2 linked regions of the Arabidopsis thaliana genome follow. The protein of the gene in region 1 interacts with the protein of each later gene in a pairwise test. Each region holds a gene or a part of one and is shown in the gene's direction. Other genes may lie near its edges.

Region 1 (7,605 bases):
TGTCGTTTTTGATACATGTACTTTGTAGTAGAGTAAACCGGACGAACTTCTGAAGAGATGTTTTGTTAATTTTGTAGCGTTCCAATAATTTATGGGCTTTATATGGGAGTGTTAACCGGTCGAAAAAGTACTCCTACCCTTTCAAATAGCTATTAACGCGAAATTTGAAACTACTAGTTAAACTTAACCAAATATGATCCCATAAATATGATATATATACACGGTAAACTAATTAAGAGACTGTTCAGATGGTTTTTGGATGAATCGGTGTATTCAAATTAACACAAACACACACATTTTTCAAAATGGACAGCCTGAAATCATGATTTTTGTTATGATCTCTAATTTCTAACCCAACATGCAACAAACAATAAATGATCAATACCCATTATCCGGTCCAAAGTGTTTTTAACAAACTTAACGTTTTAGATATAATCCAAGGATGTGTGTCAAAATTCACTTATATTGTAATAGACGAAATTAAACTAGATTAAATCACATGTTTGTGTGTTTTAACCATGTTTGATGGCTTCGTTGGGTCCAACATATTCCATTCACAATTAGGATGAAGAAGAATGTCTCAATACAGAAAGCCAAATATAAAGCAAAACACGTGGCTCATGCATTAGCTTCGCAAGCGAGCCGAATTATTTGTTATTGACTTATGTGGATCAAAATTAGCAAATGAGGTCTACCATCTACCCTTTTAAAAAAGAATCGTTTCTTTTTAACCATAGTTAAACCTTAAAAATGAAAAAAGTATCTAGAATTGATCCCCTCTAAATATTTTTTTTTTTAAAAACAAATACTTTCACATAACACAGTCGTTTTCATCGTACTGGTACATGTACTTTTTGGAATTTTCATATATCAAAATCGAATAAGAAGAAACAAAGATTCAGAGCCGTATTCCTATATATAGTTAATACAAAACATGCAATAACTAATCTGTTCACACAACAAAATAGGTTAAAATACGACTTATGTCCATCATCGCATGCACCTATTTGATAGTACAGTATTTGTTATCGTTAAGACACGTAAAGATTCCCCGCGCAAATTACAAAGCATCCAATCCACTTAACAGATATTGATTATACATATTAAGACAAAACCTGTTACAATCGGTGATGACTGAATTTTAAAGGACAAAAACATAAGCTGAAATGATTTAAAACGACAACAGAAGAACAGTTAGAAACCTGGCAATTAAATATGCTAACCTTTTTTTTCATTTTAGTTTGTCTGTTATTTTTGTCAGAACAGTTTTTGTCTGTGGCGAATTTAGTAAAAAAAAACTTTGTCAAGAACTTAAAACCATAGTCATTAATATTGGCTTATAGTGATACGATCGTCATTAACAGGATTAAGAATTTGATAACAGAAGAAAAAAACGACGAATATTTGGGTTTTAATTTGTGTAATTAAACGAATTTAAGTACTCCATATACTATAACTGCTGGTCCGTTGTTATCAGAGAGGAGACAGAATCTTAAGGTGAAAAATGAAGAATGACTTTTTCAGTATAACGAAGGAAAAATAAAATAAAAACACGAAGATGCCTTTTTGGTGACAGCACACAATTTATAGAAAAGAAAAAAAGAAAAAAAACGAGAAGAGAAAGAAATAGCCAATAATAAGTATACACACACTGTGCACAACAAAGTGATAGAGGCAGATTCAGAGAGGTGAAAAAAAGTTCGTCAGAATTTATCTATCTGATGAATTTTGGTTGAGAGATTTAACACCGAATCAGAGGTGGGTTTCTTCCACAATTATAGAAAAAGCTAAAAAGATAGACAAATTGTTGTTCTTTCTGTGTGTGAGATAGAGATCAAGGAGAGAGAGTGTGTGAGTGCAGAGAACGTGAAATGGAATGAAAATGCGTTTCCCACTTGCGGTTGGAGAGGATAAGGGCGACGAAATGAGTCTATTTCAGTGAGAAGAAGCCATTTCTCCGATTTCACAGCTCTGATTTCATTCTGCATGCTGGTAATGTCCTGCATTTCCCAATTTTTGAGCTTTCTTTTTGGATGTAATTAGTCATTATAACATCTCAATTTCATGAAATCTGGTCTATCGTTTTGCTCTAGGCTTCAAAGTTTTGGCCTTTCTAGAAGGATCTCTGATTTTATCTTGTTTTGAATCCGCTTCCGCTTATGGGTATGTGTTTTGGATTAGGATGTCGAGTTCCAAACTTTTGGGTTCTGTGAGTTTATTCATTACTTTATATAATTGCAGGTATCTATCTACAACCTTCCTTTTAAGTTAAGGTGAAGTGGAATATGCAGTTAGTTTGTGGAGATGCTTCCCGGAGCTGAGATTGAGATGTTAGGAGGTGACTGCTTTGAAGGGTCATATGAGGATCATCAGATATTCAGAGAAGTTTTCTTTGGAAGTGATCCTGGAAATACTACTAAAAGATGTCTCGTTACTGGAGCCATTAACTTCGAATGTGATTCCAGTAAGAATGTCAATTCCTCTCTGAGTTCCAACTCTGTGGTAACTAGTGGATATGCATGTCCACAAGGTTTTGAGGCATCTGCTTCAAGAGATGGTTCAGATTTTAACACTAAAGCTAAGAGAGTGAAGCTTTCAGGTAATAAGCATTTGGATGCAAGGGACGAAAAGGGATCTGCTTTGCATGGTTTTCCAACTTCGGACATAGCTAGAGAGACGATACCTCTCCATTTAGTTGAATCATCTAACAAGGGTGTTTCAACTAGCTCATATTTGTTGAAGCACAGCATAGTAAAGGGAAGAGAAGTTTATCTGGGTGGCATTGTGTCTGGAAAGTGTAAGTCACTAAACTTGGACAAATGCGATGGAAAGGAATTTAAAGCTATTGCCTCTCCTGTTTCTCAGGAGAGCTTCGCAACCAGAATGATCTCTGTAGGTGCTTCTACGCCGCATAGTGAGAAGGCTTGCTTCCCGCTACAGTTGAACAACGGATCTAAAGTATCTCCTAATGAGTTAATTATGTCTAAAACCTGCCTAAAGATTGATCCTAAAGAGGACCCCCGTCCTCTTCTCTACAAGTATGTCTGTAAGGTTCTAACTGCTGCCAGATGGAAAATTGAGAAGCGCGAAAGATCAGCAGGTAGGAAACATGTAGACACATTTTACATATCGCCAGAGGGACGGAAATTTCGTGAATTTGGGTCAGCTTGGAAAGCATTGGGTGGGATCCTATTAGCTGATCGTAAGTTAATGGATACTGGTACTAAGAAATGGACTGGTATTAATGACTTCTGGTCCGATCTCTCTCTTACACTGTTGGACATCGAGGAGAACATGAAAAATTTAAATCTTGCTAACACACGGGCACTTTGGTGGAGTGCCTTAGAGCCTTTTGTGGTTGTTGTCTTCATTTCTAAGCAAGTTGGTTCTTTAAGAAAAGGAAATAAAGTTGAAGTTGCAAGGAATTCAAATCCAGACAAGTTGAAGAAAGAAGATACAATTTGTTTGAACCTGATTTCAGGCTGTCCTGAAAGTGTGCTGACAGTATCTGAAGGCAGTCATCTTGTTCATGACGTGGATGCTAACCAAGAGATACATTCAGATCTTGAGGTGCAAACTAAAATTTCCTCTCAAAAAGTTTCTTCAAGACTAGAGAGGCAGAGCATAATTGGTAAGGAAATCTCTGGGACTCATGAGCAGGAGGCTAGCAAGGGCATTGTAGCTTCAAAATTGATAGCAGAAGACATGCATGAAAGTGTTATGAGAAAGAACTTACACAGAAGATCAAAGAAAATATCCGATATCAAACCAGCTTCCTTGGACCAACATGATTCACTAGATTCTAATTCTCTCAATAGCTTTGAATTCCAGGATAAAGAGATGGGCAACATTCACCTCGTCTCAAAGGGAAGTCGGGATGAAAGGTTGAGGAATGAGAAGATGAATAATTCATGTTGCAATTCAAAGAAAGGAAGAAAGAAAGCTAGGAAGCACTATACTCAAGATGATGACCTTATGGGGTCGACAATAACCAGAAACAAAGGTAAGTTCAGCAGATCAAGCCAGAAAAAGAAAACACAGAAGCCAAAGGCTAGAACAAAGAAAAGAAACAATAGGGGAGGGTGCAGGTTGCTTCCCCGAAGCTCAAGCAATGTGGAAAATCATTTTTTTCAAGGAAATTGGTCTATTTTGGGTCCTAGAACTGTCTTATCATGGTTGATAGCTACCAAAGTAATTTCTAGAGACGAAGTAATCCAGTTACGAGATCCAGATGATGATACTGTGGTAAAAACAGGCCTGGTAACTAAAGATGGAGTGGTTTGTACATGTTGCAACAAGACTGTGTCACTTTCTGAATTCAAGAACCATGCTGGATTTAACCAGAACTGTCCATGTCTGAATCTTTTCATGGGGTCAGGAAAGCCTTTCGCTTCATGTCAGCTGGAAGCTTGGTCTGCTGAGTATAAGGCGCGAAGAAATGGATGGAGATTAGAGAAAGCCTCTGATGATGATCCAAATGATGATTCTTGTGGAGTTTGTGGTGATGGGGGTGAGCTGATCTGCTGTGATAATTGTCCATCTACCTTCCATCAGGCGTGCTTATCAATGCAGGTATTGTCTGACTCATTCCAGGGTATATTTACATTTTAACTATTATTTATCCCGGTAATTAACTCTTTGCAAAACATACACATGGGTGAAACTTCTTGGCTGATTCTGTGATTCTTACTAATTCAACTCTAGTAACTTACACGGCATTAGTATAACTAGGATATTTTACCTTAAATTGGTACCCTCTAAAGAGAGTTGCTGTATTGCTTTTGCTTTTTCTACCCAGGTGCTCCCTGAAGGAAGTTGGTATTGCTCGAGCTGCACATGTTGGATATGCAGCGAGTTGGTTAGTGATAATGCTGAACGCTCTCAGGACTTTAAATGTTCCCAGTGTGCGCATAAATGTAATCATCTTACAGCTCGCAATCTCTTAGAAACTATGATTTATTTCTTTATCACATGAAAGGAAACCCCTGATTTGAATTCTCTTCTATCATGTCTCACTGAGATTTTATCACGATTGATGTCACTGTTCATCAGTAACAGTTGTAGATGGTGGTTTTCTGCCAGGCTCAGCACTTCTCCAATTTTCTTTCTTTAGTAATTGACACTTTGTAAAACTCACTTTTGGAGTTATGCCTCTCGCGACAGTTGGATCCCACATTAGTTATTTTGGTATGAAATCCACTTTGGCTGATGATTGTTACCTTTATGTTATCAGATCATGGAACATGTTTGCAAGGGATAAGTAAACGCAGAAAGCTTTTTCCAGAGACCTACTTTTGTGGTAAAAATTGCGAGAAGGTATTAATCATACCTAGTCACTGTGACTTAAACAACTAATGGGTAGTTTTTAAATTTACATTGAGAATAATAGTATATTTTTCGCTGCTCTTGGGCTCTTTGACATATAAACAAAGAAGATGTTAGCATGTTACAGCTGCTTCACAACTTTCAAGGTTCTCATTAAGTAGCTCGTGTAATGCAGGTGTACAATGGTCTTAGTTCTCGTGTTGGGATCATTAACCCTAATGCTGATGGTCTGTCTTGGTCAATTCTTAAATGTTTTCAAGAAGATGGAATGGTTCATTCTGCCCGAAGGTTGGCGCTGAAGGCTGAATGCAACTCGAAATTAGCTGTTGCCCTATCAATTATGGAGGAAAGCTTTCTGTCTATGGTAGATCCAAGAACTGGTATTGACATGATACCTCATGTGCTATACAACTGGGGGTAACGTCCTTTTGTCATTAGCTTGCACACTTAGATTTCTGTTTGTTACTTCTGTACCTTCAGTTCTGCTCTTCATTTTCATCGCTTTGTCTTACCTTTTTTGAATCTTTGTTGCACTTAAAGGTCAACATTTGCTCGGTTAGACTTTGATGGGTTTTACACAGTGGTTGTGGAAAAGGATGATGTGATGATCTCAGTAGCATCTATCAGGTTAGTATGAAGAAACTCGAATTCATGCTGAAAAAACAGTAATCTCATGGCTATCAAAGTGTTTGGTATGTCTTCTAGAACCTCCAGGCAATGAAACAAAATTTGACACTATCACCAAATGGATGCTTAGAACTATTCTTTCACTTCCATCCACTGGAACGAGTTACATATAAACCCCATTTTACTATATCCAGGGTGCACGGAGTAACTATTGCAGAGATGCCTCTTGTAGCTACGTGCAGCAAATATCGCCGACAGGGCATGTGTAGAATCCTCGTGGCTGCCATTGAAGAGGTACGATATTTAGAATGTAACCATGTGGTTGTTCTTGAAGCTACATCCACATTAATAATGTCTAAACTTAGTACAATGATAGACATACAGCACCGCTCATATGCTGACCTTGATAATCCCTTAGCTCATATGATCTCTCTTCCAGTCTTGTCTTGATCCCTGGGCTATCAATAGATAAAACTATTCATTGGTTTTGGCTGCAGATGCTTATGTCTCTCAAAGTGGAGAAGCTTGTGGTAGCTGCATTGCCGAGTTTAGTGGAAACTTGGACTGAAGGTTTTGGCTTCAAACCCATGGATGATGAAGAGCGTGATGCTCTCAAAAGAATAAACTTGATGGTATTCCCTGGGACAACTCTGCTCAAGAAAACACTATACGAGAGCACAAAACCCAGCACTATGAAAGGTAAAGCCAACTCCTCTCTCCCTCTCTCTCGAACGAACTTCATTTGATTTTTGCTCCTGTACAGGTGTATGTCTTTCTAAAGAACGCAATAACCCATCAAACAAAGAAGCAGATCTAGAGCCAGGTCTAGACAAAGCCGGGTCTCCCATGAGTACCCAAGTTGAGAGCTGTGATCAGATGGTTCCAGCAGGTTCAGATGATGAGCCATCCCCAGGCTTCCCCGTACCACTCGGAGCCGATCAAACAGAACCAACTTCAGAAACAGAGAACCCAAGCCGAGACAGCAATGCCAATGATAGGCCAAATAAAACAACAGTAGTCTCTATAGGAGAAGAAGAAGAAGAAGAATGTTTGCAGAAAGATGTATCAAAGTTATCAGAAGAAGGAAAAGAAACGACAAGGGCTTCTTCTTCCTCTGCAGCTTTAGAAGAAGTTAGTGGTCTAGGACTAGGAGTAGTAAATAATGTTAGCGATGAGATGTTGCTTTGTGTTGATGAACAGCTTGACTCTGATAGCTCTCAGGATTCGGAATAATATTATTAGACTAAAAAACTATGATCGTTTCTTTCTCTATATCCTCTCGTCACTTTTTTTTTTTTGAAAGAAAACCCTACTAAGATAAGGAAACCGCATAAAAGAGGATTCTATATTTTCATTTTCATTTTCAAGTCTTATCAAGCCTCAAAACCCTAAATACCAAATATCAAAACGCCCATTTTTCCGAACAAATCATGGTTTTTGATGCTGTCAATCCAGACCCCGACAGCTTCGTTTACTATTATCCGATCTATAACGATGAAGGCGATTTTGGCAGAACCCAAAACTTGATGTTCAAGTTTCATTTATGTTACAATCTTGCCCCTGAAGTAAATTCAGATGGAGAAGATGAAAATCCTCTCGATCTTGAAACTCTACTCGTTGATCGAACTCACGAGTTTGATAAAGGATTGCTTT
Region 2 (4,894 bases), on another chromosome or scaffold:
TCTTTTCTTAAAGAGTGTTTAGCCAAAACTTTACTCACCTGTCTCTAATATTAGCTGTGCTTTTTGGGGTTCTCTCAGGGTTACACCATATGGACCTGACTACATGTACTCACAGTCTCAGGTAGGCGCTTGAAATTATTGCAGTTCCTTCTTACCTTCTTTATGCATTTTAAACTGTTGTGGCTTTAGTTATAAACTCATGTCTTCTCTTCATGGTGTTGTAGGGTTTCTATGGTCCTTACATGGGTCAACAGTACCTTCAGGTTTATGGAGTACCTGGGGCAGTTAACTCACCGGGTTATCAATATGGGCAACTGAGCCATACTATTCCTGGTGCTCACGGTTATACAGCGGGTCAAGGTTATTCACATCCAGGAAGTCATGTTCTACAGCTTGGTGCCACTTCACCTATGTCTGCTATTCAATCTCCATACCCTTCTCCTTCAGCTCCAACGCACCAACGTGTCATCGTCCAGACTCCTCCTCAGTATATACAGAGTAGCGGTTCTGATCAGACAACAGGGTGATCAACGTAAGCAAATTCTTGGATTCTTTTTTGATGGTCCAAATTGGATTGAAGTTCGTACACACTTACACGACCTCATTGTTATTTATCGGTTTTCAGTTAGTAATCCTTAAAGATTGCAGAAAAGGGAAGAAGTCCAGGACAAATGCTACTCTGGCAGGCTTCCTGTTTAAGCTTAGCACATTATTTATTTTCGCATTCTAGAGGTAAGCTTGTTTCCTTAGGTGCCCTTTTAAGTTTCAGTACTTGCAAATGTTTTCGATCTCACCTCATTACCGTCGTTACAGGTATTAAGTAGTCTTGCTCACTGAAGAAGTCAAAAAAGGGGGAAAGGAGAATGGAAGTTTCAGGGTTTGTGCTTCTGTTATCTTTAACCCTCTCATCCTATGTATATAGCCCACAACAAGCTTGATGGCATAAACTATATGAATAGTTTCACCCCGGAAACAAGGGTTTTCGCGGTAAACTGGTAGGAATAAGTTTGGTGTACAAAGAAAGTTCATATATATATAAACACATACATAAATGCATATAGAATGGTGGAATCAACATCTGATTCTTTTGGGTGGTAAAAGTAGTCTTCTTACTACACACTCTCTTAAGGCATATGAGTGTTGGTAATATTACTAGGTAGATTCTCACGTCCTCTTGAGTCAAGTCCTCTGCATTGTAAGTAAAAAATTAATGACTATGGAGCTCACTTCAGCTTCTTTGTCTGTGCATAAATTTTAGCTCCAGGATTCTTCTCTTTTCTATGTCTGTACAGTTTCTAGACTGATAAATTGTTCTTCTCAATTGTTTCTGTCTATGACTCCTATCTTCTACTCTGATTCCTCTGTTTATACTCCATTTATCACTTCGTTTACCACTTGCTTTCAAGATGATAGATTCGAGTTTTTAGTTAAATTCATCGTCATTTAAACCATTTTTAAAGAGTCCAATTTTTGGGGGTGGATGTAATTACGTTTCCTTCTTTGATCCATCAAAGTAAAAATTGATCAACACATAATTAAAAGGATTACATAATGAGGTAGTGGCATAGTAATGATGTTTTGATGTCCGAGAAAACTGATTTAGAGATAGTTTAGTCAGCACAAACAAGATTAATGTTCCCATTTTCCTACAACTTCCTCTCGTTTAAAAGAATAAGCTTTATCAATGAGAATAAGACATACAAAACATTTGGGCCTTATACTTTTTAAAAGGCCCAAAAGTGCTTCAACAAGACGGCACGTGGTGAGCCAGGTGACAAGTGATACCTCCAAATGCGGTTATTTGCGGGACCCACGTGGTAGCCACGTGTAGCAAGCAAAGGACCCCCATCCTCTTTTGCATTTTTCTCCTTACACCAAACATTTCTTTCTCGCAGAGAAATCTCTCTTCTCTTCACCTCCATCATCCTCCTCAACCCAAAAACATCACGACGAAATTAAAAAAGGTAAAATCTGCCACTGAGAATTTTCTGTCATGCTTAAGCTTCGAATTTCTTCTCGTTTTTTCTCCATGAATGTTGCTTGAATTTTCACAATCGCTGGACTTGTAAGGTTGAAATTGCATAATCCCTATTTATCTTCTGTGGTGGGAACAATGTGGGATCGATTTTTGCTGTAAAAAGTACAAACTGGTTCGTATTCAAGCGTAGTAACCTTTAGATTTAAGGAAAATTGTTGACTTTGAGCTAACTAGTGAAAAATTGTTGGATTGCGATATTTTCTGGGTAAAAATTGGTTTTTTTTTTTTTTTTGTATTGTGAAGAGTATATATGAAGCAGAGTTACTAATCTTTCTCAAAATATCAACATAGTCTTTTCAAATGTAGATTTTGCTGTTAATAAGTGAAGTTTTTAGGGTTTAATTTGAAGATGTTTTCTCCTTAGTAATGATAAGGCAAAACATTATGGAGACTAAAGTCATTGTTAGAAAAGGGTTAAACTTAAGAGATCTAGGGACTAAAATGATGGAGATTTTCAATGCTATGACTAAATTGGCAAATTTGAGACACTTAATTATGTCCTGTAACTATGTTTTTGGAATGTCCTTATTGCTTCCATTTGTGACAATGTTGCCACTTTCATATGTAATGCAGGTTCATTGATATCGAAGATATGAGTCTGTATAGCGACGGATTATCGAGTGATCAGTATTTCTTGGTTAATTTCATCATGAGCAACTACTTGGGTCCTGATGTCTATTCTGATAACCCAAGATGTTCATCTTCTCAAAGATTAGCTAGAGGTTTGCCACCTTACACTTTGATGCACATTGGATCTTCCTCTCTAACTGTTTCCCAGCTACAGAACTTGTACTATAATGTACTCAGAAACGCCAAGTCCAGCCTCCTTCTTCATCCAGACATGATTTATATGTATCTCAAGGGATATCTACCATTGGAACCAAGTGGAAAGTTTCCTCAGTTCACGCATTTTTTCCCGACGAATCTTCACCCGCAGAAAAGGTATTCCCCGAGCCACGAGATTGTGAAAGGAATTGTTGTTATTGATGATCCTGCAGTAGGGTTCATAAACAAGGAAGAACTCCAAAGGTTCAGATGCTTGTCGCGTTTGGACGACCTGAAAATCGATAGAGTCACGTCTTTATCTCCTCGGGTTAATCTGGATGAAAGCCGGGAAACTGAGCAGGACTGTTCAAGAAATGGTGATGCGACAGCTAATGGAGTTGTCACTAACGAGGACTACAATTCATCTGGTGAGCTTCAAGAAACGTGCAAGAGAAAGGAAGGGGAAGACGCGGTTGCTAGTTGCGTAATCAGTGAACCAGAAAGACTTTCGGGAGACATACCAGAAAGCCAGGGAATGAAGCAGGACTGTTCAAGAAACGGAGAATCTGCATTCAGTGGAATTGTCTCTGACCAAGACTACTATTCATTTGTAAAGCTTCCAGAAACATGCAAGCGAAAGAACAAGGAAGAAGAAGCAGTTACTGGTCATGCTGTTAGTGGAACGAGTAAAACCCCTGAAAGATTTCGTGAGACATACAAGAGAAGACGGTTCAAGAACTCATCAAAAAAGGCAACAAACAAGAATGGTGAAACTCTTATGGAAAGAGAAAAAACAGATAAGCCTATACCTTTTTCTTCGGAGATGAAGGAAAGCGATGCAGAACCGTCGGTTGTAACTACTGGAACAGCCAGTAAAGAAACTCTAGGATCATCTGTTGGTGTTGTTGACATTGGTGTCAACAAGGTTGCTTACTTTTTTCAGGTTGCTTTGCCCGGTGTCCGCAAAGATTACGGTATTATTACACTTTGTTGCACATCTAACTACTTCCATACACGCCACATCGGGTCTAAGTGCTAACACATGAATTGGTTTGGTCCTTTTGTGTGCAGGTGAATTCAGCTGTGAGATTGAATCAGATGGAAAGGTTATACTGGAGGGATCAACTACAAGAGGCGAAAAAAATATCAAGAGACATTCTCGGGTGTTCGAGATGAATATCCGGAAGCTGTGTCCGCCTGGACCATTCAAGCTGTGCTTTAACCTCCCGGGACCAGTTGATCCGCGGCTATTCTCTCCTAACTTCCGATCAGATGGTATCTTCGAGGGAGTCATCATCCGACACAAAAACTCTTAATTAAACCGGAGGTTCCTATACAAGTTTAGAACTTAGGATCTATGTAGATCTTTTATCTTTATGTTACTGGACATAGAAGGAAAGCGAATCAAACAGCATGCAAGGATAAATCTTTTACTTTTAGGACGTGACTCTGTAGATTTTGCATGATTTTGCTAAATATCCGTTTTCACAATGATTTCATCAAACTGAGAATCCGTTAATATTGTTTCTGTGTTGGCAGTGTTGCTGTTACTTGTTAGTAGTTACTGTTCTCATTTCTCAATAAGTGATCAAACCGAAACTAAAACAGTACTGAACCGACGGTTTAATTTGGCTAGAAAAATTCAAACAATTATGATGTTGTGCCTTAATGTGACAACATAGATAAAAAGAAGCTCTTACAAACAAACTGACTAAGTCTTCCTCGGAGTCAAAATCATAAGCATATTCCATGCTCATACCAATAAAGTAATGAAAATGACAAAGAGACTTATTAATCGTTATAAAGATCCTTGTTCTGTTTCACTCATCATGAATTCGAAATTTCGATATAACAAACCAAAAGGAAAGAAGCAAAAAAAAAAAAAAAAAGCTCTGGATTCGGAATCTCAGATAAAAAAACCAACGATGCCGATAAAGGTATTGTCGTCGCTTGATGTAGCTCGAACACAATGGTACCATTTCAAAGCGATCATAGTAGCGGGAATGGGTCTATTCACCGACGCATACGATCTTTTCTGCATAGCACCGGTCATGAAAATGATTAGTCATGTTTATTACAACGGTGACTCAA

The links. Proteins that work in one complex are often made in the same cells at the same time.
Region 2: the proteins of ROS4 (region 1) and AT1G20870 interact in a two-hybrid assay, tested with the Arabidopsis thaliana proteins (one study listed by BioGRID).

What each region holds. Positions count from the first base shown.
Region 1 is NC_003074.8:5,039,511-5,047,115, reverse strand, and holds ROS4 (Acyl-CoA N-acyltransferase with RING/FYVE/PHD-type zinc finger protein), read left to right. Parts: upstream 1-1,590; 5' UTR 1,591-1,787; coding exon of another isoform or gene 1,788-2,006; intron 2,007-2,093; exon of another isoform or gene 2,094-2,163; intron 2,164-2,241; 5' UTR 2,242-2,304; coding exon 2,305-4,572; intron 4,573-4,798; coding exon 4,799-4,916; intron 4,917-5,233; coding exon 5,234-5,316; intron 5,317-5,500; coding exon 5,501-5,742; intron 5,743-5,865; coding exon 5,866-5,952; coding exon of another isoform or gene 5,953-5,962; exon of another isoform or gene 5,963-6,146; coding exon 6,147-6,246; intron 6,247-6,449; coding exon 6,450-6,651; coding exon of another isoform or gene 6,652-6,698; exon of another isoform or gene 6,699-6,715; coding exon 6,716-7,185; 3' UTR 7,186-7,304; downstream 7,305-7,605. Other genes in the region: AT3G14981 (uncharacterized protein), read right to left, coding at 1,788-2,006; AT3G14970 (RING/U-box superfamily protein), read left to right, coding at 7,383-7,605. UniProt on the Arabidopsis thaliana protein: Histone H3 acetyltransferase that binds methylated DNA at chromatin sites lacking histone H3K4 di- or trimethylation and catalyzes H3K18 and H3K23 acetylation. Prevents the transcriptional silencing of transgenes and of some endogenous genes.
Region 2 is NC_003070.9:7,258,512-7,263,405, reverse strand, and holds AT1G20870 (HSP20-like chaperones superfamily protein), read left to right. Parts: upstream 1-1,925; 5' UTR 1,926-1,964; intron 1,965-2,611; 5' UTR 2,612-2,630; coding exon 2,631-3,777; intron 3,778-3,874; coding exon 3,875-4,119; 3' UTR 4,120-4,383; downstream 4,384-4,894. Other genes in the region: AT1G20880 (RNA-binding (RRM/RBD/RNP motifs) family protein), read left to right, coding at 79-121, 225-527; AT1G20875 (uncharacterized protein), read right to left, coding at 1,725-1,925; PHT1;8 (phosphate transporter 1;8), read left to right, coding at 4,573-4,894. UniProt on the Arabidopsis thaliana protein: Acts as an anti-silencing factor that prevents DNA hypermethylation and gene repression.